Linked DNA regions of Bombyx mori. The protein of the gene in region 6 purifies or fractionates together with the protein of the main gene of each other region. This does not show direct contact. Links are inferred from orthologs where the notes say so. Each region holds a gene or a part of one and is shown on either strand. Other genes may lie near its edges.

The links.
Region 1: the proteins of intraflagellar transport protein 57 homolog (region 6) and intraflagellar transport protein 20 homolog purify together in Homo sapiens (affinity purification with mass spectrometry; 3 studies listed by BioGRID and IntAct, counting the BioPlex papers as one, with this or other methods). This does not show direct contact. The link is inferred for Bombyx mori from reciprocal best matches to the Homo sapiens genes IFT57 and IFT20.
Region 2: the proteins of intraflagellar transport protein 57 homolog (region 6) and intraflagellar transport protein 172 homolog purify together in Homo sapiens (affinity purification with mass spectrometry; 3 studies listed by BioGRID and IntAct, counting the BioPlex papers as one, with this or other methods). This does not show direct contact. The link is inferred for Bombyx mori from reciprocal best matches to the Homo sapiens genes IFT57 and IFT172.
Region 3: the proteins of intraflagellar transport protein 57 homolog (region 6) and intraflagellar transport protein 88 homolog purify together in Homo sapiens (affinity purification with mass spectrometry; 3 studies listed by BioGRID and IntAct, counting the BioPlex papers as one, with this or other methods). This does not show direct contact. The link is inferred for Bombyx mori from reciprocal best matches to the Homo sapiens genes IFT57 and IFT88.
Region 4: the proteins of intraflagellar transport protein 57 homolog (region 6) and TRAF3-interacting protein 1 purify together in Homo sapiens (affinity purification with mass spectrometry; 3 studies listed by BioGRID and IntAct, counting the BioPlex papers as one, with this or other methods). This does not show direct contact. The link is inferred for Bombyx mori from reciprocal best matches to the Homo sapiens genes IFT57 and TRAF3IP1.
Region 5: the proteins of intraflagellar transport protein 57 homolog (region 6) and intraflagellar transport protein 22 homolog purify together in Homo sapiens (affinity purification with mass spectrometry; 3 studies listed by BioGRID and IntAct, counting the BioPlex papers as one, with this or other methods). This does not show direct contact. The link is inferred for Bombyx mori from reciprocal best matches to the Homo sapiens genes IFT57 and IFT22.
Region 7: the proteins of intraflagellar transport protein 57 homolog (region 6) and intraflagellar transport protein 74 homolog purify together in Homo sapiens (affinity purification with mass spectrometry; 3 studies listed by BioGRID and IntAct, counting the BioPlex papers as one, with this or other methods). This does not show direct contact. The link is inferred for Bombyx mori from reciprocal best matches to the Homo sapiens genes IFT57 and IFT74.

The regions. Positions count from the first base shown.
Region 1 is NC_085116.1:6,783,086-6,787,482, reverse strand, and holds intraflagellar transport protein 20 homolog, read left to right. Parts: upstream 1-1,353; 5' UTR 1,354-1,451; exon of another isoform or gene 1,452-1,655; 5' UTR 1,656-1,657; coding exon 1,658-1,781; intron 1,782-2,011; coding exon 2,012-2,166; intron 2,167-3,484; coding exon 3,485-3,601; 3' UTR 3,602-3,640; downstream 3,641-4,397. UniProt on the Homo sapiens protein: Part of intraflagellar transport (IFT) particles involved in ciliary process assembly. May play a role in the trafficking of ciliary membrane proteins from the Golgi complex to the cilium.
Region 2 is NC_085117.1:13,504,370-13,508,638, forward strand, and holds the start of intraflagellar transport protein 172 homolog, read right to left. Parts: upstream 2,958-4,269; 5' UTR 2,889-2,957; coding exon 2,850-2,888; intron 2,320-2,849; coding exon 2,148-2,319; intron 1,233-2,147; coding exon 1,040-1,232; intron 1-1,039. UniProt on the Homo sapiens protein: Required for the maintenance and formation of cilia. Plays an indirect role in hedgehog (Hh) signaling, cilia being required for all activity of the hedgehog pathway.
Region 3 is NC_085119.1:6,965,463-6,969,279, reverse strand, and holds part of intraflagellar transport protein 88 homolog, read right to left. Parts: intron 3,788-3,817; coding exon 3,674-3,787; intron 2,775-3,673; coding exon 2,666-2,774; intron 2,267-2,665; coding exon 2,159-2,266; intron 1,612-2,158; coding exon 1,549-1,611; intron 1-1,548. UniProt on the Homo sapiens protein: Positively regulates primary cilium biogenesis. Also involved in autophagy since it is required for trafficking of ATG16L and the expansion of the autophagic compartment.
Region 4 is NC_085131.1:5,592,668-5,596,914, forward strand, and holds the start of TRAF3-interacting protein 1, read right to left. Parts: upstream 2,845-4,247; 5' UTR 2,662-2,844; coding exon 2,527-2,661; intron 930-2,526; coding exon 812-929; intron 238-811; coding exon 1-237. Other genes in the region: gastrula zinc finger protein XlCGF57.1, read left to right, coding at 4,115-4,247.
Region 5 is NC_085114.1:9,665,718-9,670,281, reverse strand, and holds intraflagellar transport protein 22 homolog, read left to right. Parts: upstream 1-1,567; 5' UTR 1,568-1,740; coding exon 1,741-1,785; intron 1,786-2,011; coding exon 2,012-2,181; intron 2,182-3,707; coding exon 3,708-3,910; intron 3,911-3,996; coding exon 3,997-4,106; 3' UTR 4,107-4,180; downstream 4,181-4,564. UniProt on the Homo sapiens protein: Small GTPase-like component of the intraflagellar transport (IFT) complex B.
Region 6 is NC_085120.1:9,285,754-9,290,091, reverse strand, and holds the start of intraflagellar transport protein 57 homolog, read right to left. Parts: upstream 3,068-4,338; 5' UTR 2,996-3,067; coding exon 1,874-2,995; 3' UTR 1-1,873. UniProt on the Homo sapiens protein: Required for the formation of cilia. Plays an indirect role in sonic hedgehog signaling, cilia being required for all activity of the hedgehog pathway.
Region 7 is NC_085111.1:14,776,649-14,781,262, forward strand, and holds the start of intraflagellar transport protein 74 homolog, read right to left. Parts: upstream 2,961-4,614; 5' UTR 2,773-2,960; intron 2,578-2,772; 5' UTR 2,568-2,577; coding exon 2,454-2,567; intron 1,524-2,453; coding exon 1,286-1,523; intron 711-1,285; coding exon 514-710; intron 1-513. UniProt on the Homo sapiens protein: Component of the intraflagellar transport (IFT) complex B: together with IFT81, forms a tubulin-binding module that specifically mediates transport of tubulin within the cilium. Binds beta-tubulin via its basic region. Required for ciliogenesis.

The DNA.
Region 1 (4,397 bases), on a different chromosome or scaffold from region 6:
GGTACATTAAATAATCATTAAATAGTATTTATATATAATTAAATCACATAATCTTCACTTCAATTTTATGAACAAAGCCTTGTTATTCTTGTTATCATAAACTTTTTTTTAGGGGATTTTATGATCTGGTAACTGAGACTTTTAAGTCATGTCTTATTTTAATTTATATTCATATTTTTATGAAAAATGATATTATGGAGTGAAATGAAATGAAAATGATTAATTTGAGACATTAATCAACTGGGATGAAATCAAATGAAATGAAATGAGATGATATGGGATGAAATATAATCTCAGTAAAATGGTGGTCATTTACTAAGATTTTTTCAGTGGACCTTTTTCGAGGATCCCGAGAAGTTACGTCCGAGCGGCTTTGTTTCATTTTCCCACATTTGTGCACTTTCACAGATATTACACAGTTAATATGCCACCATTAGTACACATTTAAACCTGAAGAAACACTAAATAGACAAAATAAAACAAATCACACAACTTCACTCCTCGCGTTCCCGGCAAAAAATCATCATAAACTTTAAAGGAACAAATTACGCAAATTGTAAACTATTTTATTTATTTAAGGATTACCAACAGGGTTTACAGTAAGACATAAAATAGCATTGACATGTATAGAGCAATAATAATTGATAGCTGCAACTCTAATTAGAGGCAATCACAGCATGCATTACATGAACAGATTTAACAATAATAATAATAATAATAAAACAAAAGAAAGACAACATGGACAGCAATACCCAAGTATTCAGACCAAGGCTGAGGTCAGTTCAACAACAACTTTTTATAATTTTGTTCCTGAATATTGGAAGGGAATCGCCAAATATGTCAAGGTTTTCAGCTTTACTGACTAGATTATTATAAAAGTTAGTTAGACGAGGAGCAGGTGAGTGCAGTAAATTGGTTCTGCTAAAGCGGGTGCTGAAAAGAGCACCGCTCATAACTTTTTCGTGATTTGGACAATTTTTTACGTGATAAAAAGTTTTCTTCCCAGGAGGCAGTACAAAATGCTTTCACTCAGTTTGTAGAATCTAGATCACCAGGGTTCTATAGCAAAAGCATAAATGACCTTCCTATTAGATGGTAGCAATGTATAGATACATAATAATGGTAGATATTTTAATTAAATAATTATTAAAAAAAAAAGGTTTTTAAATTCTTCAGTACAAATCGGCAATTTCATACTTTAACGCTTAATATATTAATTTAACATATTCAATCATTATTTCAAATCTGTCACAAAGTGAAATACGTTTTTAAAATACTGTTTTCTTTACAATACCTGTCTATAAAAAGACTAATCCTTTTCGTACAAAATACTCATTAATCTAGAACTGTTTTGATAAAACGACTCCATATTATATTGTTTTAACCAACGTCGATACGTTGCTAAGACAACAAAAGCAGTACAACTAAAACAAACAATACCTACATTAATAGTAAAGATTATAAAAATTACATTACATTTAAAAAAAATAGCAACTAGAAGATTGATTTGCTATTGGTATTCTTTTAGATTTTAGTTACAAATCATAAAGAAGGATACAAATACAATAATTTATTTAATGTACTACTACAACTATAGTGAAATTACTACTACAGTGTCTAGTTACTGATTATTATTATTTTATTGATTCACTCAGTTATGGCAGAAGAATTGCAAAAAGTTCACCTATTTTACGATGACATCAATAAAATAAAGGTTCTTGAGGAGAATGTTTTGAAAGATACTGAAGATTTAAGGGACACCTGTAAGGAGTACGAAAATAGTAGGTATCTGAGTTCAACTGTAAACATTGGATACGTTCTATGTATACACAAGTTTTTATTAAACTTAGTTATTGTTGTCGTTATCAATTAATGTTTCAGTTTATTGTAAGATCGTACGAGCTGGTACGATTACTCGGATTGTTGGATTTAATAACCGAAAATCCTACGATCTCGTGATATTTATGTACTAGTTATTAGTAATATAACTGTGCCATTTTCGGCATTGCAGAGGTGCAAAATTTTGAAAAAATTATAAGCTCGCTGTTAGATCTAATTAAAGATCTCGGCGACAATGTTGAAAATAAGAAAATGGCTGCAATAGGAGCAATGAACTTATTAAAATCAATAGCCAAAGATAAGGAATCCGAACAGCTGAAATTGCAAGTAAGATTGGTTCTTTATTATCATAATTTATAGATAGCCATTTAATTAAACGAAAATATAAATTTAATAACTAGGTATGAAATGTTATATAATTTTGTTGGAAAATGTCTTCAATAATTTAATTTCGTGCTCAGGCACTCAAACTTTACCTTTTACTCACTTTACTTTTTATAAACTTTTTTACTCAAGATCTTACATTTTAGTTCATTTTACCGTATATTATAAGACTACTTTAATTTTGGAAGCCATCTTCTATCCTTAAAAAACCCGTTTTTTAACCTTTTCTTATTGCTCACAAGGAGCAGAGAAACCACCCCACTCCAAGTAAGCCTATTCGTCACAGCGAGCAACATGGATATACTGTGACTACCCCATTGTGTTCTTTTTTTTCTTTGCATATCAACATACATACATGGACATATTTCCATTACTTCAACATAGCAGAGTTTGCTCTCCGAGAACTGTGTATCTTCTGCTTTGCAGTAGTCACACAGTATGCTGTACAGACGTTTCTCCCTTCATCTCATAATATCAGCGGGCGGGATTAGCAGCAGAGCCCAGTCCGTACATTTCCCTTTTCTACGTGTTGTGTCCCGTGGGGGTTTTCACTTGAACCGGGACACGCACGGGAACTCGAATCCTTTAAGTAGGGCTATGGCGTGAAGTTTTTCTAATATCGTTTGCCAGAATGATTTACATTTAATAGCCGCGAATGCGTTCGGTTCATGTTTTTAATGTTCTAGATAGCTCACTGATTTAATTAAAGGCATCTCAGCGCTGCATTTAGTCAATCTACTTGTGATTTTATTGCTTTTATACACGATAGAGCGCTGTGACTTAGGTGTCTTCGCAGCTTCACTAAGATGGACGGGCTTTGTCAGAACGGATGGAATCTAATAACAGCTCCTCGAACAACTCCAAAAGACGTTTAATAGGTCATAGAGATCGGCTCTGCGAGTGTATTTATCACATAGGATCGGAATCACGACCTGCTGAGAAAAATCGAAAGCAACTCATTGCCTTTATGAGCTTATTGTCACTCTTCAACTAATTTCATCCAGAAATTAGAATCAAAAATATTGAAACTTATGTTACGTACTCTTTTCTTAGGGTCGTTAAAAAGATAATGAGAGGTAATTATTTTATTCACTAGTGACGAGTCATATGACAAACTGACAGTTGTGACCGTTGACCGGTTAATTTAAATAAAGAATATTTCTTCTGTTACTGTGATGTAGCTTTTTTTTATCATCGCTCTTATTGATAACTTTAATATTGTACGTAAGTTTGATGAATACAAGAAATACAACACTTTCAGGCGGAAATTAACGACAAGACTTCATTATTGGAACAAATAGACAGCGAATACGATACACTTCAAATCCTTGAAGCAACTCAGATGGAAACAATTGAATATCTTACACAATTACGTTAATTTTAATAAATAAATAAATAAAAGTGATTTTTAGTAATATATTTAGTATATATTATTATCCTTTTCAATCGGTTGTTTAAGTTCTAATAATATTATTACCTCTACTTATTTGTTTAGAATTGATACCATTAGTTAGGTATTATAGCAATGGATTTTCAGTTATAGAACGCGTTCTCAAACCATCATTAACAAAATATCATTGGGCTTGAAAATAACGTAATGTGTTATCTTTAAATCACCGCTTAAGTTTACGAGCCCTTAGCTTATATGTTAAATGTAGTCAGACTTCAGTCGATAGTTTGTAATCATTTTAATTTTCCTGTTCATCAACACACATTAAATAATAAATCCGTAGTATTGTGATTTTACAAGTTACGGAATGCAACGCTTAATGATTAAATTAAGTGGCGTTCATGCCTCTCTGCGCCGCCATTATCCTATCACTGAAGTAAACAATCTGGTGGGATCAGGAAGAATATATTTTAAAAAGGAAGTTTTAGGCTTAGAAAAATAGATATCCCAAGTGTATAAACCTGAAAGGGGACTATGACGAAAAATAAAGAAAATAGAATTTAATAAAAGTTAATTGCGTCATACTTATTATCACTCTATTTAACACCCCTAGTTTAGTCTCAAATCTCAATTGTGTAGTTTAACTGTCCTACCCTTCAAACCCGAACGCATTACTATTTCGCAGCAGAAATGGGCAGAGTGGAGGTAAATGCTTAAGTGAACTGACTAGAAACCCTACCGTTAGCGAAACTAATTCAGTAGCAAACTTAAAATAAGTTGTAAT
Region 2 (4,269 bases), on a different chromosome or scaffold from region 6:
CGCGTGAGAGACGCACAGGCCCGCCGCCGTCGAGCGGGGGCCAGGGAGGCGGATATCGCCCAAGCCCTGGCCCTCTAAGTGTTTCGGGTCCCCTCACATGTCGGCCTGGGGACCGGCGAAGGGGGCCTAAGAAGACGACGTGCAAGCTGCTCTGCACGCGTTTTATGCATGAGCATCCGGGTGATGGAAGGCCGGCTATCCTCAACCCACGCTGGTTCTGACCCAGCGGGGTATTCCGTAGGATAGACCATTCTAACCGGCGCCATCTAGGCGGGCTTCGGATAGCCTGCCAACCGAGAGGGCTGGTGGTCGTGGCGCCGACGACCGCCAGTCCGGCGTCCCGAGGGGGAGGGTGATGGGAGAGATTTGCTCCGCACTAAACGCTTCACTTTCCCCCCTTTGCCTTTTCATGAGTTTTGTCTCATGCGAGGTTTGGACGTTGGTTGTTGAGAGACAGGAGGTTTTAGTCGGTTCGACTCCGACATGCCCCGCCCTTCATCCCCAGTGAAGGGCGGAAGACCGGCGATTTCCTCCTGACAAAAAAAAAAAAAAAAAAATGGCTAGACTAAGTAATTATTTCGATTTACGACAAAATTTCCTTAACATTATTTTCCACTTAGCCAGTTTTACTCAGCCACTGTTGATACTAATACCCGTTTTTGACCGCTACTTAATTCACACTTACGACTACAAAAAATTCAAAACTCATTGTTTTCCTATCTCGATACAAGAGTTATAGTTGGCTTCCCAAAAAGGTTTACGTTTCATCATTAACTAGTCTAACACTGCCCGTTTTGCTAACCGATCTTTGATGTAGGTTTGATTTGTTAGCTACGAAACTTCACAAGATTCCTCGTTAGGCCAATCTCAAAATTTCCTAAAAAATTCAACGAAATCGGTCCAACCGCTTTGATGTCTATAGGGAACATACACAGATCGACGTTAACATATGCAAATAATAAAATTTAATTTCCTTCTGCGTGTAGAAACTTAACGCTGCGTTGATGAAAATGCAAAAATGAACTGCTTCCAAAATCACCTAATTTTCCCATCGCTTGTACCAGTGATAAATCCGTTCTCAGCGCGCAGTAGCTGCACAGGGACTCCGGTAAGTGGAAACTTGTTACAAATCACTTTCTTTCCACTCCAGTCGGCTCCCACTCGATAAACAAACACCATGTTATCGCTCTGTGCAACTCCTAACAGTTCGGAATTTTCGCTGAACGATATTCCTATACAAAATTTAATATGATTAAATTTAACTAATTAATTAAAAAGCAGATTTGCTATTCGTGTATCATTGTTTTCTATATTTATTATATTTTCTTAACACTGAAAAGTCAGTACGATTTATAAAGGCAAAAATTTGACATTTGTAAATTTCTTTTAGTTCAACTACATTATAGAGAGCGGGAGACATTATACTTTATTGCACATCAATTTTGAAGTCATCGTAGCCTAAAGGATAAGACGTCCAGTGCATTCATATGTAGCGATGCAACGATGTTCGAATCCCGCAGGCGGCTACCAATTTGTCAATGAAATACGTACTTAACAAATGTTCACGAATGACTTCCGCGGTGAAGGAATAACATCGTGTAATAAAAATGAAACCCGCAAAAATATTATTTGGGTAATTACTGGTGGTAGGACCTCTTGTGAGTCCGCACGGGTAGGTACCACTCCTACTCATTTATGCCGTGAAGCAATAATTCGTTTTGGTTTGAAGGGTGGGGCAGCCGTTGTAATTATACTGAGACCTTAGAACTCATATCTCAACATTAATCACTAGTTGATTTTTACTCAATAGAGAAAAAAGTTAAGAAAAGCACGACACCTGTAGGTGCTCTTTCCAATGTAATCGTCGAGCATCGATTCTGATTTCTGCGCCGGGGATTTTTTTGGGGATCTCCGCAAAATACACATACCACCAAGGCGTATTAACCACCAATTTATTTATGCTAATAACCAACGTGAAAATCCAAAATCGTGAAATACCTATTTTACTTGATATCTAATTCAAATTATACATTTATGTTCTGGACTCAAAATGCTACTACATAAATAACCGAAAATACTGAAATAACTTATATGACATTAATAGTAAATGACAAAGTATTATTAATAGTAAGTACAAGTCGTTTTACCAGTGATAACGTAAGACTTTTTTCCAGCTGCCGGATCAGCAGGCTTCGTGGAAAACTTGTCTCTGCGTACGCCATCACGGTCAAAAACCAATATTAAACGCTCACACGTGGCCACCGCCAATTTAACACTGTTAGGAGACCAGCATATATCTGCTATTGGATTCTCGACATTCTGTGAACAAATTATATTGAAATGAGTCCTGTCGAGGATTTTGTAAATTGAAGAACCGCATTCGGTTCTAATCATACACTCCTTGCCATTTATTTACGATAGATACCACAACTGGGTGCGCTCTATACTGGATTTGGCCATCTCCACTAACAACTCGAACTAAGTGCGAGTTTTTGAACGTTCACGATAGCGTAAAAGTTAACTTAAATTTGTATGCAGTTGGCACAGCGCCCCTAGGGACAAACGTAAGGAAACATTTGGTGCAAGAATTAGCGGTTCTTCGGCATAACAAGTGGATGGCAGCATTCACACTGTAATGTAAATGGGTCTGGTAACCACCTAAATCACGTAGACTGAAAACTTGTTCAGCCACTTGTGCAATAAAAATACATATATTTAGAAAACGCTGACTTCTTACATCCATACACTTTACACCAGTCCATAGCTCAATAAGTGACGAAACAATAACCATTACTCCATAACTCGGCGCTTAAGTTAAAATAACTTAATTTAAATTTTAAACTATTTACCTGGGCTTCTAAAAACGTTTTAGAATACTTCAGTTTCATTTTGGTTTAATTTATAACCAGCATAAAAACTTGTTTACCTAAAATGTAGATTGTACTTGTTACCTAGCAACCTACAAACAATAAACAAAAGTTGAGCGTGACTAAGATCTTTTTGAACATCTGTACAGTATTTAAAGGATATCTATGATACCTATGATCTAGGTTTTTTTAAGGTAACCGAAAGCAAATCTACCAATCCGTAATGAACTCTGAAATATTTACTAAAAATTAATTAATAAAGTTGAACATTTTAAAAATAAGAGGGCAGAGACGTTTTCAAAAATATACATTGTGTAAAACTTATGGTAGCTGTTCCCGAAAGCCATAAGTAATTACCCTTAAAAACTTATTCATAAAATCAGACGAATACATGAAGCCAGGGACATTTCTCAAAGTATAATTTAGCCAGGATTAGATAGTTAGAAGATTAGACAATTTAAAAAGTTTTTTTTTAATTCAATTAAAAAATATATAGTGATATGGTACTAGAAAATAGTAATTGATCCCATTAACACAATAGAGTCGACTTTCAATGTATAACTGTGCAATTTAAATAATAAATTTCATGTCAGTTATTAAAAGTCATCATAAATTCAATACTAATGTAGAACATTCGCATTACGGCGTTAATGCAGAGCAGTGGTTGTATTAATTCTATTTCAACACTAATATTTCAACACTGGATTCTGGAAAATGTTAGTGGGTACATCCTTATTAAGAAATGTGAGCTGTAGCTCAACACTAGTATACAAAAAAGGTCTACGAAGAGTAGCGTCATGATTGGAAAATATGATAAGACTTGGCTTCGGCCTTATTGAAATTTTTATTTGAGGAAGAAATTAAAAAGGACTTGGCTTCGACTTTTTTGAAAAATTATTTCAGAAAATATATAGAACAGACAAGGCTGTATGGGCTTAGATCCCCTTGCCTTGCCTAACAAGGAAAAATTGTACAAAAATAAAACACTATGGTCTCAGAGAAAATGTATAACAAGGTGAATGAAGTTAGCCCCTCAAAAAAATTTTTTTTTCCTATTTTATTCTTATTTTCTATTAATTCGTTTGTTCATCATTTGTTCATGATTGTTCACTATTAATAATTGTTTGTTCTGCATATATTTATTTAAAAAATATATTTAAAAATATACCTACAAGTTAGCCCCTCTAATGCAATTTTTTTTATTTTTTCATCCTTAATGACTCGTAAATATTCATTTTCGATTGTTCTTATATAAAACATGTTTGTTCTCTTTCGAAATTACTCGTTTTTTGTTTAATTTATTATTTTTATTAGTTGAATAAATGTATGCAAAATATGTGTACTGCGCATGCGTCAACTATAATGCCTAAACTTTCTACGCGGTTTTAATCGTGAAAAAAAA
Region 3 (3,817 bases), on a different chromosome or scaffold from region 6:
AGTTTAGCATTTCAATACCTATTATTTATAATAAAGGAGAGAAAGGGTTTATTAATATTGTTTTGAATTCCGGGTCTCGAGGGCTGGCTACAATTTGTCTAATAATTTAGCATAGTGACCCTATCTATTATCGAATACAGGGGTCGTTAACCTGTTTGTCCTTAAGGGCGCAATACTAAATTTGAAAATCACCGAGGGCGCATGTTTTACAGATAATCAACAGGTATCAATAGGCATTAAAAAAACAGATTTTTTATAACTTTATTTTGTTGGTGTCATACATAATGATACATATAATTCAGTGTGCAACTTGGGTGTCCATATTTTCAGCTAATTTCTTATAATTGGGGATATATTTAGAGTTCCCGGTCCTTAAACAATTATCTAAATGTAAGTAATTAAGCTTTGTTCGGTATTGAAAGAAAATAATTATTTCGGATTACTTGATAGTTTTAAATGCACGGTCTACGCGTGGTCTATTCGAAATACGATCACACACTAACAAAAAATACGTGCGTGTTATTAGATACGCTCAAGGTTAGCAAACTGCTAATCTATGCACAATCCTAAACTCAACTGACTACTTGCTGTATATCGCCGTTTGAAAAGAGTAAATAAATCGCTCTGGCTGTCATACATTTACATTAGTCCAGCGAGGGCGCATTAAAAATCGATCGGGGGCGCCAGCGCCATGTCGCCCAGGGGGGCCGCGTTGCCTACCCCTGATCTAATACACTGAATATTTAAGCTATATAGTGACAAGTTGTATATCATATACATTTATCACTTCTTGATGTTTTCCTGTATTATAAGTTCAATTATGTTTCATTATGGAAGTTAAGTTATTTTTGATTGTTTTATATACACTTGCCCTCGTAGGTTTTCATAACCATAATAAGGACAGCATGATGGAAAATCAATTAAGAAAAAATTTAAAAACACCACACTGGTATACATTTAATAATGATTACGTATGTTTGTTGTAAAATATGGTTATTTAACGGCTGGGACCCCATAATTTTGTAAAAACATAAAAGAAATGAAATAATTTTCTAGAAGTTTATGTTTTATGTGTTCTTATTCAGTATACATGGGTGCGACAATATGTATGGTTTTACTAGTGAAATTTATAAAACGCGCAATGAACACGTACAAATCTTGATAATCAACACTCGCACCCACTCAACATCTTTAGTGATTCCAATGGATGTGTAAATGTTATGCCACTATTTTTAGGGTGAATTTTATTTTAAAAATTAGGGTAACAAGGATATCGAAACACGAATCCGTGAAAAAGCGAATTCTGAAAAACCTTGCAACAACACTATGATTATTGATTTCGAGTTATACCACACTACACCATCTAGAATTCGAAGACAGATCTTGATTTTGTCGGTGACATTTTGACCGACAACCTTTAAGTACTGTTTAAAAGTAATTAGAAGAGTTTATACTCTTAGCGATAAAACCGCCCGCCGCATTTCACTCTTCGTCTGTAAAGTTAACTTTATTTTGATTTTATATTGGTGTAGAATAAAGCTTACTCACCTCTTAAGTCGACTGGTGACAGACTCGCTCTGGACGATCCACTCCCCGCAGATATCACAGATGCTAAAAACATCGACTGGTATTAATGTGTCTTACTTACTACAAAATTATTGATGCATTTTTATTCGTGATCGGCGCCCTTATCTTAACGTTCACTATAAGGTTGAAATTCCAATGGCAATAGAATAAGGGTCATATGACAAACTAGAGTGCATGGTTCCTTAGATGATAGGTATGTATAAACAATTACTCTAGGTTAGCCGTCTACTACTAGTACTAGTAGTATAGTCAGTTAGCCGTGAGCTTGCTTACTAATCTATCCAATTTAAATTATTTAAAGTACATAAAAAATTTGAACATTTCAATATTTTACCTCCCGTCATTTTCAATTACAATTGAAACTTTATTTTATTTGAGTAAATAATACACAAATATGGTTATACAAATGAAACGATCTGTTGGTAAATAGGGAAAGAAATGTATAAATTGAGAAAGACAGGTCTTTTTGATTGGAGTTACAAGACTGGGTAGGAACATGAATGTTGTTCATACTGCTTGTGAGGGCCATTTTTTTAAAGTAAACGTTTGCCTGATGTAATGTTTGACGAACCTCTTTCCTGCTGCTTGAGCCTGGCCTGCGCACGCTGTAACTCTCGCGTCCACGTGCTCGTCTCAGATAAACCTTGATCTCCGCACAATTTCACTATTAATTTCAGACCTGAAAATATTTCAAGTATCTTCTCCATCAACTTAAAGAGAAGGGAATAATTTCTGCGGAAATATAGTTACTATATTATTCGACTCATCATAATCGGTTGCTCTTGGCAGAGCAGTCGTGGTCATGTGGAATTCTTGCTCATTAAAGCCTTGACAGATGTTTTCCATAGTTTGCGAACCGAGGCCTGACGCACACACTCGTTAAATGCGGTTTCAGTAAGGTCTTTCACCTGATTTATTTATTTATTCGACTATATTTCGCATAAATACACATTAAAATGACCTTTAGAGTGTTCGCTTATTTTCATTGTCAACTTTTGCCAACATCATTACTCTGAACTGATTTACATTTTTCTCTTTGTTATTTAAATCGACTTTTCAAGATAACAAGTTAACTCACATTGTACATTGTCGGGGAAACGGGTATTCATTTTCTTATACAGGCTGAGTGCTTCCTGGTACCGGCCCGTGGCTCGGAGGCAGCCGCCCATCAGTAAGCCCCATTGTGGCTGTTCGAGTTTTAATTATTATGACTAATTATAGGTGGGCCGGGTTCCTCTAGCGTCGTCTATTTACCCCTGTATCGTTCGTTACATTTTATATCGTCGTAGCCTAAAGGATAAGACGACCGGTGCATTCGGATGTAGCGATGCACCGGTGTTCGAAGCCCGCAGGCGGGTACCAATTTTTCTAACGAAATACGTACTTAACAAATACTCACGATTGACTTCCACGGTGAAGGAATAAGATTGTGTAGTAAAAATCAAACCCGCAAAATTATAATTTGCGTAATTACTGGTAGGACCGCTTGTGAGTCCGCACGGGTAGGTACCACCACCCTGCTTATTTCTGCCGTGAAGCAGTAATGCGTTTCGGTTTGAAGCGTGGGGCAGCCGTTGTAACTATACTGAGACCTTAGAACTTATATCTCAAGGTGAGTTGCGCATTTACGTTGTAGATGTCTATGTAACCACTTAACACCAGGTGGGCTGTGAGCTCGTCCACCCATCTAAGCAATAAATAAATAAAAAAGAAAGCAATTGCCCTTGTGTTGCTAAGTAGGTGCTGCAGTATTTATAAGTACCCCACTCCCCCGTTCTGGTTGACGCTTCCAATTTTACCCGTCATGTTGAAGTTTGAATAGCTTCGATAACACCAGCATTCTTTTCAACCCATAAAAGCGTACTAACTGCCAATTCCTGCCCAACTGACGTTACGTATACATAACTTCAAAATTCTCGCATAATACAGACGTCACGATAGCGTTCGACCACGAGCAAAAGTTATTGCTATAATATCAATTTTACTATCGCTTTTGTACTTACTTGACACTTACTTTAACATGATTTATTATTTGTTTATTACTGTTTGTTGTACTTGTACATTTTATTGACTGTATAATAATTACATTAGTCGGCTCTAGTCGCGCAGCTCGTCTGTAGTACTGCAAGGCGACATCTGGCGGTGACTCGCCCGCCAGCCACTCGAGGGCTGTTAAATCGCACGGCCATATTGCTTCTACCTGAATTAAAATGTAATAATATAAACCTAA
Region 4 (4,247 bases), on a different chromosome or scaffold from region 6:
TAGAAATTAAGTTTTTTGTACTGTTTTTCTTAGGAATCGATTCTTTAGATCTCGTTTCTTTTATAAGCACAGTATTTTGTGATGCATTTTCTTTATATTTTTTCACTGCTTCTACTGACGATAAATTGTTGTCTAGAGCTTGTGCCAAACATTGTAAGAGTTCATTCGTTTTCTCTGCCTCTTGACCTGCTACTATCTTTGAAGGCTTAATATTGATAGGTTTTCCTGTTGTATAATCTGTATATAAATTTACTAAATTAAGAATACTTGTAAGTTTTTTTAAATACATACTTAATTGTGTTAATATGTGAGTGAGTTCGGGAACACAACGTATTAATCTAATATATATTATATTATAGTAGCTGCGAAAGTTTCGAAAAGAATATGGGCAAGACAGCGGTAGTTATTACATTAATAGATAGAAAAAAAACGGTATCTGATACGGTTATTTGAACCTTACAATATTCTCATAACTTAATATTGCCTGTCTAATACATTAAGACAGAGTAGAGTAGCCATCGTGCTATGGAACTTATAGAACTAAGATTTATAACTCATGTCTCAAGGTGGGTGCTGCCATTTCCGTTGTTGATGTGTATGAACTCCGATAACCACGGGTATGCAGTGAGCTCGGTCACCTATTTTAGCTTTAAAATTTTACATAAAACTAATTTGCAGAACTACTATCCAATTGAAATAGAGACCCTAGTAAAGGTAGGTATTCACTTTTTGAAGTCTATGGACTCCGATATTAGAACCCCAGGCGAGCTGTGAGCACGTTCATCCATCTATACATCTAAAATCAACTTACGTATAACTGAAATGACTTTATTTAAAAACTGTATTTTACTCTCTCTATCTTTAACATTCTCAGAAGTTAACTCGTCCTTTTCAAATAAACCTTCGAAAAATCCAGTTGTTTTTAAAACCTAGAATTAATAATAAAAAGCATTAGAGAAAATAATGATTAGTAAAAACTTAGACTTACATAGGTCTCGATGTCTATGGACTTTGGTAACAGATTAACATCAGCTCAGATCAGGCAGTGAATACAATGGTAATAAAAAATTTGTTACCAGGACATGTTAGCTACTTAAGCCATTTTGTAAGTAATATCAGACTATTTTACTTAGACTTTAATTAACTTTGGGATAACGCTAAATTTTACCCGGGACTTCATAGAAGGTGTAAATATTATTTAATAAAGAATGTTAAGGAGCTATTTAAGGGACCAAAGTCACGCTTTTTAACCGACTTCAAAAGAGGAGGTTATCAATTCGACCACCATATTTTTATCTATGTTGTTCACCGATATCTCGAGAATGCTTGAACTGATTCTGATAATTCTTTTTTTTTGTTCGAAACGCTAGACTTCCCGAATGGTCCTGTAAGTAATCATCAGGATCAGGATCTGATGATGGGATCCTGGAGAAATCGAAAAAATCTACAATTTTCAGCCTATCTTGAAATGATTTGGGTACTTCTTTTTTGTTCTTATTTTATGTCGCCGCGCACCGGCGCGGCGGCGGCGCCTTCTACCTACACCATTATTACGTGCTTGATCATTATTTTTCTTATGCATTTTGCTAATGTTATTTTAAAACTGCGATATCTTCTAGGATACTCATTGAAATCAAATTATGTAAAGGGCCAATTTCTTTTAAATTAAATGCTTGTAATGAATAACGTATTTCTTTGGATAAGTATTAAGTAATATCATCTTTATAAAAACACCGTCACAAATAATGCTTTATTTTAGAACAAATTTGGTTAGTTTAAAAAAGGTTTTAGTGAGCCAATATATGCCGTCGCGGAGTTTTTTTTAAAACTTTTAAAGGGGATTTTTTTGTCATATTTTATTTTAGCGACACTTAAACCGTTTCCGCAGCGCACGCAGCGGAGGCTCCCAAAAGGAAATAAACCCGATTTTGAAACATTATTTATTAGTGCTCCGCTCGTATTGGTCTTAGTGTGATGTTAAATAGCCTATATACACTGAAAGAAATTTTCAAATCGGACCAGTCGTTCCTGAGATTAGCGAGTTCAACCAAACAAACAAACTCTTCAGCTTTTTAATATAAAAAAATAAAGTATAGATAGATATGGTGTTGCTTTATTTAATTTCTGTTCAGATTGGTCATTTTTCTGTAACAGGTCTCGTCAGTGGAATTACACAGCGTAAATACGCCTCTAGGGTTCTAGGGTAGATACCCTAAAACTAAAAAGGCTCCTGTTAGGATAGACGCAAACCGCATCATTACGCGCTCAGTTTTGCTTTTTCTTTACTTGGCCATTTTCATATTTTCATTCTTTATGATTATTCTTTACACACAAACAATAAAGCACGATTTAATTTCGTATTAAAAAAAATATTTTTTTCGTTTATTTTATTAAGGCGTTAAACCTTATCGGCTCAGGGCGCTGAATCTTATCATACGTCACTGGAAAAGTGCATTTTTGAAGTCATTGCTATTTTGAATTTTCTAAGTGTGTTTTTAAAGTGCTTTGAAAAATATATGCACTCACGCTAGTAATAATATCATGTAGAAATCTAAAGGGAGGCTTCTTCAGTAATTTTTCACTTAAAGGCGGCCTCTTCACATATTTTCCGAGAGATGTTTGAGTTTCTTTTATGATCTGTGGATCTATTTCTTTTTCCATTGCACATATTACAAAGTAAACATGAAGCAATAAATATCAAATAACCATATACCTATTCTTAACGACACAAAAAATTGTTGATTACAATAATTTAACAAGAAACATAGGTTTCATAAAGGTTGTCAGGAGTCGTGGTATTTTTAATTTTGTGTACACTGTACGTTCCCATGGAAACGGCTTAGAACCCAAAAATGTTTTGTTGGTCAAAGAACGGGATATATGCCCATACAGCCGGTATCCATTTTCAAGATAGCTTTAATGACAATTGTAAAAAATTCCAGGCAAAACCCATATCGTTTGAATGAAAAGTGAAAAAGAATAAAACATATTTAAAACCAATGAGATGGGATGGAATGGCATTAAATGAACACTCAGTAAAATACAAGGATTTACGGAGCTTTCAAATTGGCAATCTAAAGTAATTTGCGCAACAGCGATCTTGTTTTTATTACGTACTTTCAAAAAGAAGGATTGATTTTTGCTGCTATGAAAATCCACGGTGCCCGCCACGGTGATCTAAAGCAGTGCTTTCCAAACATTTTTCATTCCCATACCCCTTAAACTTTTTTTGAGTTCTCCAACCTTGATAACTCCATACCTAATGTGTCTCATTTCTCTTCGATTAAATCCTGATAACTCCATACTTAAAAAATGTCTCATTTCTGGTTTATCGGTCGTTTTTATTAAATAGTTATTAGAATAAAGTTCATTTAAAACTATATGTTGTAGACAAAACAACATTATCATCATATTTTTAATTTTTTTAAGTTAACTACTTAAACTTCTCAGTATTTACGGCCATTACCAATATAATTTTCACGTACCCCCAATGGGATTCGGAACACCCCAGAGGTACGCATATCCCAAGTTGGTAATTTACAATACACCTTTCCCACTTTCGAAAAAAAATCCACATAATTTTAATTTGAACTCAACATACGCCATATCATGTCAAGAAGCTCATTTAATTTTCATATTGAAAAAAAAAAGCAGACTTACCGTATCATAGATTATCCTACGTAAGCACAAATCAGCACAATTACTAATGTTTATTTATTGTCTGTGTACAATTTGTAGGTCTATAATTTTATCAATAATTCTTTTAAATTGCATCAAAATAATCAATTTATTACAAAATAAATATTTTAACAAGACTTATTTATGTCTTAATTAATCGTTTAAAATTGTGGCTCGATATGCTTTTCCTTAGATCTACACTACATTGGCAAGACTGAATGTAAATTTAATATGCAGACGTGGCGCCTGATGCTCTGTTCTGTCTAAAGTTTACTTGAAGACCAAATTGTGTGAAGCTATACAATTTTCTCAAAGCGCCTGAGTGAAAGTAATATCAAAGTGTATACCCACTAACTTCTTGATTGTTTATGTAGTTTCGTTTTGTAAACTAAATAAACTATTGTTCTGTAAACACGATTTGCAAACTTAATTGAAGATGCCTCGTAAAGGTAAGAGAGTGGGTCGCCCCCCAGGGTCCAAGAATAAAAAACTCAAGTCAAGCAACACAGATCAACCAACAGATATCAAACAAGAAGTTAATTCTGGACAAGTTTATGTTTGTACAATAT
Region 5 (4,564 bases), on a different chromosome or scaffold from region 6:
CGAATACAAAATTGTCCGTACAAGCTCAGTATCGATGTCGTCGAATACAGTCGTTTTAACATTTCTTAAATTTGATACTGCAAATGCCACCTTAGTTACTGCTACCTTAATGGAAAAACCATTTAGTTCCAGTTTTTCAGGGAGCTTCTAGAAAGGTCCCATGGTGTAATGGTTAGCACTCTGGACTCTGAATCCAGCGATCCGAGTTCAAGTCTCGGTGGGACCTACTATTTTTAGATTTCAAGTACAATTTTAATTTTTTTTAATCCTAAAAATAGCATCAAATGTATTTTACACATCGACTTATTATTTATAATACGCCTGTAGTACGCTCCGAGCAATTTCTCTTAAAGCTCTGTATATGCTAAGGGTTAATTAATCTATTTCGGGCAAGTCTATTTCTGCGGTAAAACTGTCATGCAATCCACTTTGAAGAATGGGAAAACCATTATACAATAGAATTGAGAATTCGACCTAACGTGTCAAGGAGGGTGGCGGCTTCCACGTTGTAATGTTTTCAGTAACCACTTAACATCAAGTTAGCCGTGAGCTAGGTCACTCCTCAATGAAATAAAATAACATAATTAACATTGTTTTTATAGTTTAATAACGCGTTTTTATTGTAATTACATAAATTCTAACATTTCGAATTCTTTAGTTTTCGTGGTCACGGACGACGATTAAGCAAAAGTAGTTTTAATTATGTCTACAACTCGGGAATACAGAAGAAAATACTAAACACATAGTAATGTCTTGTGTTGAACTCAGATACGAGTTGAAAGTTAATCAACTAATCATCGGGATAAGAAAAACCGGAGTCAAATCGACATTGAATAAATTTCAATGTTTTATTGGTGTCTTGATATCATTGTGAATGTCAGTAAGGATTCAGCTCGATAGCAGAGAGATGACAAGACAGCAAAAAGATAAATATGAAGAATAGATCTGCACTCATTATTACTACATCAAAAATATCAAGGAAGAAAAATATTATTTAAAGCCATACAGATGCCATAATTAAACCAAATTCGGAAAAATACTTAGGATAGATTTCTTGGTCAAGGGAGCTAGAAAAGCTGACTGGATATTCTCAACAAATACATGCATGCGGTGGAATGTCTCTCTAAACAACATTGGAGTATTCCTGCTGTCGCACACACGCATCGCGATTTATTGAAATTTATGTGATAAATTTGAAGGTTCCTCTGTCTATCTTCTGCCAGTGCTTGGATTTAATACGTCATGTGGTATAATTGTCATAGATAATAGATTTTTTACTGGTGGTAGGACCACTTTTGAGTCCGCGCGGATAGGTACCACCGTCTTGCCTATTTCTGCCGTGAAGCAGTGGTGCGTTTCGATTTGAAGGGTGGGGCAGCCGTCGTAACTATACTGAGAATTTAGAACTTGTATGTCAAGGTGGGTGACGCGTCTACGTTGTAGATGTCTATGGGCTCCAGTAACCACTTAACACCAGGTGGGCTGTGACCTAGTCCACCCATCTGAGCAATAAAAAAAAAAAGATTATCAATCTATAAAATGAAGTTTGTCATGCCAATGTCGTCTTGGTAACGCTGGGTATAAACGACAAACAAATACAATACACGATTGGGATTTCCAAAAAGAAACTTGAAATGAGTTTTTCTACATAATTATACGAGTAAAGCAAAAGAATACAGTGAAGTGAAAATACAACATAGCATCTACCTTTCATAAGCTACAACGTATTGAAAAATCATCATGCAACCTAATAAATTGAAGATACTGATGATAGGTCCCTCTGAAGTAAGTTTCCATAATAATACAAAATGATCTTAAAACAAATACCTATAAATTAAATTATAGCAATTAATTAGGTTCCCGCGGACACTTTTTAGCTTCACATACAATTAAAGTAGAGCTTTGATTATATTATCAATTAGGCAGATTAATATTATTTTAACATTCAAAAGTCTAAGTCTTGTTTTAGGAATAGTGAAATTACAATTTATTTCCGATTTCATTTTTATAGAGTGGCAAAACTCAAATAGCTAATTTTTTATCGAATTCTATTAATATTGATGAAGCGGGAAACCCGAAGCCTACTCAAGGATTAAGAATAGTGGAATTCGAACAGTCAAATATAAACTATACCGGAAGAAACGTAGATATAGAATTGTGGGACTGTAGTGGTGATCATAGGTAAGTGTTGAATATTTTTTTGTTAACAATATCAAATGAATACCTAAATTATAACTTTACAGTAACTTTAAAAACTTAACTAAAACTCTGGTGTCAGGCGCATTTTTAGTAGGTACACTTTTCTATTATTATTGAAACGAATTCCATAGAGCACAAATGGGAATCGAACTCGGAACCTGTAACTCAGTAATCAGGGCCACTCACCACTACGCCACTAGGATGTCAAGCTTTGGTTTGCCCACCGATTGCCGAGGAAGGTTTTTTCAGCTTATGTATGTGTCTCGTTCGTTGGAATGATTTGCAACCTTTGACCATTTGATAAATTTAATTATATGAGGTGTGACGTGATTTATTGCAATAAATTCATTGTATTAAAGATAGAACGCGCCAGAATTTATAATCTAGCCAGGCAGGTCCTAACCGAATTATATAAGCCTACATACAAATTTATTTTATTCGTAACTAAATAGCTAAAAGTGTGAAATAAAATACATTATTGAATGAAACAAACACTCGACTACTTTAAAATACACAATATAGGAAATTTAATTTAAAGTTTAGTAAAAGTATTGTAGGCAAAGCAAGGGGATAAAACATACGTGTGTGTTATTTAAGCACTCCCGTCTGTAATAAATACATTTATTAACATTCCAGTTATGTATTATGGGTTAACGCTCGCAGTAATGTAGAAAAATAAATTGTATCCCTCGAGGAAAGCACTTTTTTGTGGATGAAAGGTGCTCCATTTCATTGTCTGTACTCCCGACAACGTGTAGGTATTACAAAATTCAGTGTATCGGTGTAGTCAAGACTGTCTTCATTAGTCCAGACTTGAAAATACAAGAAATTCACGTTCGAATTTATTATACTATTAAAGCATGGATTATATTACGTTCATTTTATGGTGATATTATAGTTTGTGTTTTCTTTTTATGTGTTTGTAGTGCAACCGAATTCTTACTACGTGAAGTTTTTAACCGATTGCATTTTAAGCCGGAACATAACGTTGTTTGTTTGTTTTTGTTATGGTACTAACTCAATTGATTTGACGTGATTCTCAAACTGTAAATAAGATTCAGACCACTTTCCACCAGACAACACCAGAAAATATAAAAGTTACTTCAAATATGAAACTAAACGAAGATCTTTGATCACCTCATTTAATTTTGTCAGCTAGGTATGCACCTTTAATAATACCATTTTCGATATCCACGCATTAATCAGTGACTAAGACTAATGCAATGATAATGCAATTTAAAATTACACATTTTTTTTATAATCATTACAAACCATATACCTACCTAATCACGTAGATACCTACGCTCAATGACGCACCAAAAAACATCGGATGAGTCAAACATGAGTTGTTATAGCGAAGCAGAATTAAATAACTGTTTTTTAATCTTGTGTACTGTAATTAAACTCTCACGACAATTGTTTTGATTTAATACTAAAATTAATCGTTCCTCGTAGCATAGTCTCCCTCCACGTCTCTACCTAGATTGTATGGACGACTCACGTTTCAGATTCGAATCATGCTGGCCTGCTTTAAGATTTGGAGTTAAAGGAGTAATTTTAGTTTGTTCATCTAACACATCAGAAGTCGCTCCTAGAGAATTAGAATTGCTATATAACTACTTTGTATCTCAACCAAAGCTATCCACTAAACAGTGTGTGGTGTTTTACAACTGCGTAGATGATCAATACGATGTTGGTCATCTTAATTTATGTAAGTAGTCATCATTCGTTGTTAGGTAAATGATACATAGAAATTGTTGTATTTCAGACACCTATATTGAAAAATTTCATTTTCAGCTTCGACATTTTCAAGAATATCTCAAGTCGCTGTGAATTTGAGAACAGAACGTGAACGTTTGAAAACTGAATTTTCTAATTACATAACCTCTGTACTTCAGTCGGTATAAAGTATAATATTATCCGGTGACGTCATTCTTATGTATAGAATTTGGTGAAAAATAAATAAACACATACTTACGTATATCACTGTGACATTCATTTTCATTCCACTGAAAAACATGGAAAAATCGAAGTTCTGGGCATAGTTAATAAGGTAGTCAATGTACCAAATACAAGTTCAATCAAAGTTAAAAAAAGTACATTTAAACATGAAATTTGAGATCATAAGTTAATCATACAAGGCTTAAGTATATTTAATTACGTAAAGCCAAAATGCCGCAACGATCTTTAGAGGATCTTCTGGAATGAAAAACACAGACGGTAGATATGTTTCAGAGACTCGTTATTAGCGGTCACATATACTTCCGCTATTTAATTATTAAAAATATAATATTAAATAAAAATATAAGATATAATATAATTTTACATACGAAAACACGGACGTAGTTCATTGCCAGAATTTGAT
Region 6 (4,338 bases):
AAGTCGGTATATAAATCGGCGGCCTTATCGCTGAAAGCGATCTCTTCCAGGCAACCTTGCAGGGAGAGGAATAAGTTAACTGGACGGTGCTATATCTTAATAAACTTACATAAAAATATATACTTAAATACACATGTGAAAAATAAATACCATATAAGATAAACTTACATACGATTAAATACAAATAAATACTAAAAATATACAAGATAAAATACAAAAGAAGTAGGAACTTATACAGTTATATCATAGAAGCAAAGTAGTGCGATTTCAATCTGGACTTGAAAATTTCCGGCGAGGAAGATAGTTTAACGCTTAAGGGTAACGCATTCCATAAACGGACAGCCTCAACCGCAAAGGAATGGTCATAAAATGACGTCAATACTACTTGTACAATACTTTTTGTAATACAATATTTAAGTCGCAATTCAAAAATCTAACAGATATTAATTAATATATCTTTTACAGTTTAATATCGCGTTTTTTTTTTCTTCATTGTATCGTGGGGTGACAGGTTATTTGGCTCGACATTTATCGATGTAACTAAAGGTCCGTTTTATTTGGTATTAGCATCAACACTTCGATGTTTTTATTCAATTAAGTTTACCCCAATCAAATAGCTAAAGAAGTTTTTTTGGTATGATATTTTTTCCAAATTTTAAACTTTGAATATGAGTCCTGTAAAGTTGCAAATATGTCGCTGAAACCAAATAGCCTCTCACTCCTAGAATTATTATATCCGACGCTTCGAATACTTTGAGGGGGAAGAGGTCATGGATGGAGTGTGTGAATGACGATATGAGAGAGAGAGAGAGAGAGAGAGAGGAGTGAGTGTTGAGATGACGGCTGATAGAAGAGAATGGAAGAGAAAAATTTGCTGTGCCGACCCCACCTAGTGGGATAAGGTAGAGAAAAAGAAAAAGAGTTTCGAATACTTTTACAGTTGTCGTGGCCCGACGTCCGTGTAAAAAAAAACTATGAAAAGCATATTATATTAAATCGTAGAATTAATTTTAATTATGTCTACGACTCGAGAAAACCGTATAAAACGCTGATAGGTATTTATTTATAGCCCACCAATATAAAAATTAATGTCATCAAAATTTACAATTTTTTTTCTGATCCTTCTTGATCGTGTTCTTCTTTTAACTGAGGTCGTCGATTTTCAGCAACTCTAAGAGCTGAAGTGAGGTAGGCCAATGAATGTCTTCATTTGGTAAAAGCAAGGGCATCTATGAGGCCTTTTGCAATTTACTTTAGCCACAACGCCACCAGTTTGTGACAATTGTTAGGTTCCTAACTGACAATATGACCAAAGTAGCCTAGTAGTACAAAGAAGAGTTTGCATACATGAGACAAAATAAATCTTAAAAAACTACAAACAGTTATTGAAACAAGACATTAATACATTTCATGTCTTATAAATGCATTGTTCGGTAGTCCAATAAAGTCGGGCAAAATAGTCGTATTAAACCATACATTGCATTCAACAAATAACAAACCATTTCGTTTTGACAGAATTATTTTGTTGAGACTGCTTAGTGGCAAACCTTGGATTCGATTTGCCAACATTAATAGCGACACACCAAAAACTTCGTACAAATACTGTATCAATCTAAAATAATAATTAACTAGCTGAACCCCTCCGCTTCGCTGGGCATTTAAACATTATTATTTCTCAACCCCACAAAAATTCTCATCATTAACGCCCCCGCAACTGGTGTAGGGAGTCCAACACATCAATGTTAGCCTATCCATTAAGTACATGTATTATCTACATGGATACCAAGTTTCAAGTCAATCGGATGCACGGTTCAGTAGTTATAACGGAACATCCGTAAAAACCACTAGATTGATGTATTAGTATAGATTGTATTTAGTACACTTCGTTGGCAATCATCCCAGATTCCTTGTTATTAAGTAAACTGTTGCCATTCGATTCCTTTGTTGTCAGAAGCCACAGCAACACCGTGATCTGAAAGTCCATTTCCTGTATATCTTTCTTCAAGGTCGCGACAGCTTTCTTTGCTGTAACTAGAGGAGAATTGTCGTTCATCGAGGACCCTTTAGATTCGGTTCTTTGTTTAATATTCTCTAGCTTTGTTGAAAGCTCGTTCAACATGTCTTGCCTTTCAGTGATACCTACACTGGCCTCTTTATATTCATTTGACACTTTGTTTAGTTCGTCGAGTAGAGAACCATATTCTTTGACAAGAGGCTCGAATTGCTCATTCAATATATTCTCCCTGGCCGTTACCTTATCCATAGCCGATGAAATGCTACTGTGCAATTTATTCAGCTGGGTTCCCGTTGTTTTAAATCTATCGAATAACTCTTCTTTGTAACTCCTCATCTGTGCATGTCTCGCTCGCCAGTCGCGTCCATCGGCGGATATCTTCAATCTTAGAGCCGGAGCGACCCTTTCCAATTCCAACTTCCACGCTTCCCAATCGTGAACCTTTTGGGCTATGTTACTTGGTTCTTTTTCGTCTGCATTAATATCTCCTTCAGATTCATCAGAATAAATGGGCATTTCATCTTCAACTTTGTCCAGTAATATTTCGGTTTCGTCTTCAACTTGATCAATGTCATCAACCGACTCTTCTGATTCTGGTATGTCAACAACTGGTTTTTGCCATTCAAAGTTTTCTTTTTTCAATGCTTCATCTGCGAGAATATTCAGGATACTACAAACTTGATCGCCCCATCCTTGTTTTAGTTTATGCGAAGAGAAATCTACATTAACTTCGTTTTCTTTGAGTACATCAATTACTGCAGCTATGATTGTGTTAGGATCGTCCTCTTCGTTGGGCTGAGCGAAATCCTTGCCACACTTCCTTATCAACCAGGCCGCTGTCGAGGCAAACACGAAAAACTGTTCGTTCGGATTAGTGGACGTCACGAAATAATATCGACTCAACGGTTTCATTTTTATCTGGGGACGCAGATCCGTGTCGATTTTTAATAAACGTAATTTATCCATAAGTCTTAAATCCATGTTGATAATGTTTGAATTACGCTAAAAGTAATGCGTGATTGTTTTGAAGTGCTTCGCTACGGTTGCTATGGTGATCAGTCCACCGCTTAAATGTGAAGTGTATTTATTATCTATGGTCTACAGTTCGTTGGTAAACATAGATATTACGCTAATATTAGATTTGTAAATGCACTGAATTTCAAGGAACTACACAAATTCCAGAAATAAGTGATAGGTACATCGAAAAATAAATGAAATAACAACTTCTTGCTGCCGGTTCGGGCTCATATGTCAAGACGATTGAACGATTTTAAACTGGTAGTAGGACCTTGGGAGTCCGCACGGGTAGGTACCACCACCCCGCCTATTTCCGCCGTGAAGCAGTAATGCGTTTCGGTTCGAAGGGTGGGGGTAGCCGTTGTAACTATACTTAGAACTTATATCTCGAGGTGGGTGGCGCATTTACGTTGTAGATGTCTATGGGCTCCAGTAACCACTTAACACCAGGCGGACTGTGAGCTTGTTCATCCATATAAGCAATAAAAAAAAACCTTTTCTGTATTCTTGGTTCTAAACAAGTTAGTTTCCTTATATCAAGTCGGTTTATTAATACAGAAGCTCTGATACTCATTTTCTACGCTTGTATTATTATTACAAACGTTGGGAACAATACTACGCATTCTCTCACCCATGTTTGGATATCGGTATGATTAATTTTAATTAAACCATTGTTAAACTAAGATTCATTAATAATTTTGAAACGGTTGTGTTCATCAATTTGCTGAACATATTCTCTGGTGCGTACTCAACAAGAAATTAACTGTGTCTATGAGACATGAAAATGAACTTAATGTAAAACGAAATGTACTAGTGAAGATGAGATTGGAAGCTGTAGTGGTAGCGGTAAGCAGCGGCTTGGCTCTGCCCCTGGGATTGCTGAAGTCCACGGGCGACGTTAACCAACCACTCACAGGTGGGCCGTATGCTCGTCTGCCTATAAGGGCAATAAAAACAAAGAAAAAAAAGCTGCTAATATTAAAATTAACAGAGCAACAATTGGCCGATTAACGCACCGTCGCGGTTTTCGCAAATTAATATTTTTTTTTATCACACGATTTTATTGCATCACTTTGGGAGGCATACACGAAAACGTGTTATGTACGTATTTCATTACAAAAATGTTTATCTGCCTGCGGTATTGGAACACTGGCATGGTTGCATCGTTCGATACTAGTAAGAGCGTCTTATCTAGGCCACGACAATTCCAATGACTGCAAGATGCTCTGCCACCAATACTTTAGATAGAAACTAGAAGGTTATACGTAATTACGGTTTCGCCCGATCCATTAACGGTGCTTTTAGGT
Region 7 (4,614 bases), on a different chromosome or scaffold from region 6:
GTCGTTGTGGCCTAACGGATAAGACGTCCGGTGCATTCGTGTTGAAGCGATGCACCGGAGTTCGAATCCCGCAGGCGGGTACCAATTTTTCTAATGAAATACGTACTCAACAAATGTTCACGATTGACTTCCACGGTGAAGGAATAACATCGTGTAATAAAAATGAAACCCGCAAAATTATAATTTGCGTAATTACTGGTGGTAGGACCTCTTGTGAGTCCGCACGGGTAGGTACCACCGCCCCGCCTGTTTCTGCCGTGAAGCAGTAATACGTTTCGGTTTGAAGGGTGGGGCAGCCGTTGTGACTATACTGAGACCTTAGAACTATATCTCAAGGTGTGTGGCGCATTTACGTTGTAGATGTCTATGGGCTCCAGTAACCACTTAACATCAGGTGGGCTGTGAGCTCGTCCATACAGCTAAGAAAAAAAGAAAAAAAAAAGCTGTTTCCGGATAAAATTACAGAGAAACATACGGCTTTCCTGCCTTATTCAAATCAAATTATGTATGTACCTTTTCAATTTGCTCTCGAATCTGTCGTAACTGATTTTCTTTCCTTCGTTTCTCCATGAATACTTGTTCTATTTCATCTTGCATCTTCTGATTTGTCGCCTCCAATTCTCTCGTTTGTTCCTCAACAGATTGCTTTGTCGCTTCTCCGTTTAGTATACGAATTGCAGTATTATAGTCTGCGAGACGTCCCTGTAAATCTACAATATTGATAAAATTTACTACTACTCCTGCCATTACACGGTTCTTCAATCCTAATTATTTTAGAAAAAAATTCCTTGGAAATACTACTTATTCTGAAGGAAAGAAATCGTATCTCGTTTTGATTACCCCTGAAAACATACATGCAACATTTTATGATGGTCAATTGAGTAGTTAAGATGTGAAAGCCTTAAAAAGAAAACTCATTTTCTAACAGGAAAACAAAAACATTTTTTTTTAGTAATTACCTTTTAGTCATAACGTAAAAATCCTTGGTACCTTTTTTTTTCCATTAGTTACATGATTTAAAGTCAGATTCTTAGTATAATTTATATCACTTTATTTATTATTTTTGAAAAATCTATAGCTGCTCTCTCTCTCTTTTCGATCGGTCCCTCACTGCTGAGGATCGTGACTCCGTCCGATTCCGTCAACCAGCTCTCTCCATCGATCCCGTTTTGTAGCTTGGTGGAGTGCGTCGCTGACAGGTACCGTCACTTCCTCCTCCGCTATTTGGTCTAAATTAACTTAAAAGGAGCTGTTCATAAACAAATATTTACAATATAAATCTTACCGGTTAGTTCTTGTGCCAATTCCCTGACCCGCTTCTCATAGTGCTTTTTCGCGGACTTCTCTCTTTCGCCTGCCTCAGCTTGTTCACTCAACCTCGCTATTTCAGCTTTCATTTCTCTAATTTTCACTTGCATCAATTCTTCCCAATATCGTTTATCCTGTAGCTGTCTGGTTCGAAAACCGCGACCAGTACCAGTTCGTAATCCTGAGATACCTTGTTGAGTAATTGGTCGATCAATCTATTTCAGAAAGTATTAAAGTATTTAATGAAATAAATATATATTGATAAGTAAGTAAGTCGAGACTTAGTTATTTTTATTAAACATATCTTTTAGTATTCGACCTCACAGCATAAGTTGGGCGGCGGAATTCGCTGTCATAATTAACTATTTTACACCAGCTAGACCGAGATCTCGTTCCTTGTCTACGATTCGCAAAATAGTAAATAGAGATTTTGTCTTAAGATGAAGGTATGATCGTCTTAATATTGTAAATAACGAAGACTCAAAGACTCCGGGGAAATTAATAAACTTTAATTAAATTATAAGGTCGCGAAGGTCCACTTTGAGGAGTGGTGGTCTCCTTCATTGTGAAATTCAAGGGATGAGATAAGATGAGAAGGGCTATGAATCATTTGTACATAATTATGTATATGTATCGAGGTATATAATATTATGTCTTTCTGTATTCTATAAGCTAACATTCGCACACCAGCAAGATTTCTTTGTTTAGTTTCCCTGCTTAATTTGGTTTTTTTAATCGTCTTCAAAAAAGGTGAAAAGAACTTGATTGTTTTTTAAATTTACCATCAAAATTTAAATTTTATCAAGATTTGACCAATAGTTTATGAGTCATCCTTAATAATGCACATTTAATTGATTTCTTTTTAAAATATACACGTGAATTATGAAAAATATGATTCTAACGGCTTCGGAATGAGCTCCCCTCCACAGTGTTTCTCGAGCGCTATGACTTGTCCTTCTTCAAACGAGGCTTGTGGAGAGTACCCAACGGTAGGCAGCGGCTTAGCTCTGCCCCTGGCATTCCTGAAGTCCATGGGCGACGGTAACCACTCACCATCAGGTGGGCCGTATGCTCGTCTGCCTACAAGGGCAATAATAATAAAAAGGTATTTTATTTTTGGATTGGTTAATTAATTTAAAACAAACCATGGAAAAACCGGTAACGGCAGTTTGTTGTCGGCCTGCTGTTGGAGGAGCAGGACCAAAGCCGGTCGTCAGTCTGGAGGCGGTACTGCCTCGATATGCAGATGTGGGACGCATACTGCCGCTTCTAAAAACAAACTTATTTGGACCCGGGAACGGACATACGTGATGTATTATAATAAATTACCACTTTCATTAATTTGATATACATTTACTATGCTGTTGTATGTTTTGACATTTTTTCCTGTGTCTTTTAGGTGATCTTCGCTGAATCTGGTCCCAATTTCCTTACATAAACTTTAGCTTATTATTATTTATTTACACCTGCAGCCTATGGGTAGTATACGCAACTGGCGTCCAATATAACAATGGGTTCAGGGCACTGATGGGGCTGCCGCGTTTCTGTAGCTCGTCGAGGATGTTTACAGACGCCGGTGTTGATGGGTTTGCCGCAATACTTAGGAAACGAGCAGCATCCCTGATGCGGCGGGTGCGTGGCGGCTCCAACGGTTACCTGCAACTCATTGCGAACAGAATGGAGATGGATTTTCCAATCTTCTTAGCATGGAATCGCCTACATGTGGCAGGATAAATATATTATTATTATGTATTTCCAAACTACATTTTTATATATGGGCTAAAATATGATCTGAAATAAATGATTATTATTATTAGCGCCAAACCTTTACATGATTCTCAGACCTCTATCAGGCGATAGATCGGTGAGGAATTTTATTTGTTTTGCACAACGCGGAGACGATTGATCGCATGATCCTTTATAGCTAATAGGGTCTCTACGACAACGTGTCCGTAGCTGTGTCTTAGAAAAGGAAACTAGGTTCAACTATTAGGCTCAACACGACTACAATTAATTCTTTAAAATCAGATTGTGACTAAAGTTAAAGTTAAATAAGTTTAAAGATAATAAATAAAATATAATGAAAAAATAAAGAATTGAAAAATAATATTTTTGCTTTTATCGACTGAAATAGTTTTTTATTCAAGATTATTTATTTTTCTTTTTACTTAAACCGTGAATTTTTATGCTGACAATTTTGACTCGTTTGTTTTAAAATCTTGGAGAAGACCGATATAATTGAAATCATTGGAATATTCCAGAACTAAACTAAAACATTGATTACCGTGAAAGAGCAGAGCCGTTATTCGTGTGCTCGCGATAACCCCTTCTGGAAACTGGCCGCGTCGTGTCGGACCGTATACTCCCACTGCCATCGGAAAAATCCATAATCACACTAACGTTAACGCCTCCTTAATTAGTATCCACCAACAAAAATGTAGGTCGAGTCTGAATTAATTTGAAATAAATAGATGCAAACTGACGGAGTGTTTGGCGGTTGTTGCTATGGCAACGAGTAACTAACTCGTCATGGACAAGTCTGAAGTTGCACTAATGAAAAATTGTGTGTTTTATTGCTATAGCAAAAAATCTGATTAGAGTATCATTAGTGGGAGGACTTCTTGTAGTGCGCACAGGTAGGTACCACCACGCTGCCTATTTTTGCCGTGAAGCAGTAATGCGTTTCGGTTTGAAGGGTGGGGTTGCCGTTGTAACTGTACTGAGATCTTAGAACTTTTATCTCAAGGTGGGTGACGGCATTTACGTTGTAGATATCTATGAGCTCCGGTAACCACTTAGCATCAGGTGAGCCGTGAGCTCGTTCACTCACGTAAGCAATAAAAAAATAAAGTAGCCGTCTATTAAGAGTGCTGTGCAATATAACCATACCGCAGTGAAAGTATCAATACAGCCAATGTATATTACAATTTACGCACTTAAATTTTCACTGAACGACTTATCTTTATAAAGGAATCTGATCTATCACAACATTTTGAGAATTTGTCTTCATGGGGTTCATGTTATCTGAATTACCATTACCATTTGTTAATACACGGCCGGCAATTTCGTTTACCTTACAGCGTTCATGTTACAATTGCTATCTTAGTTAAAACTCTGTATTGCAAAGCGTATTGAACCACCAAGCGTTAACTGATTACCGTAAATCATCGATTTAACGATGCGAATGCGGCCACCCACTATATATTACCTTAATATACATAAATTACGTGTCATGTTGTTTGTTGACGTGTCGTTGTGTGTGCGACGGACTGGTTTTTTACTGGTAGTAGGACCCCTTGTGAGTCC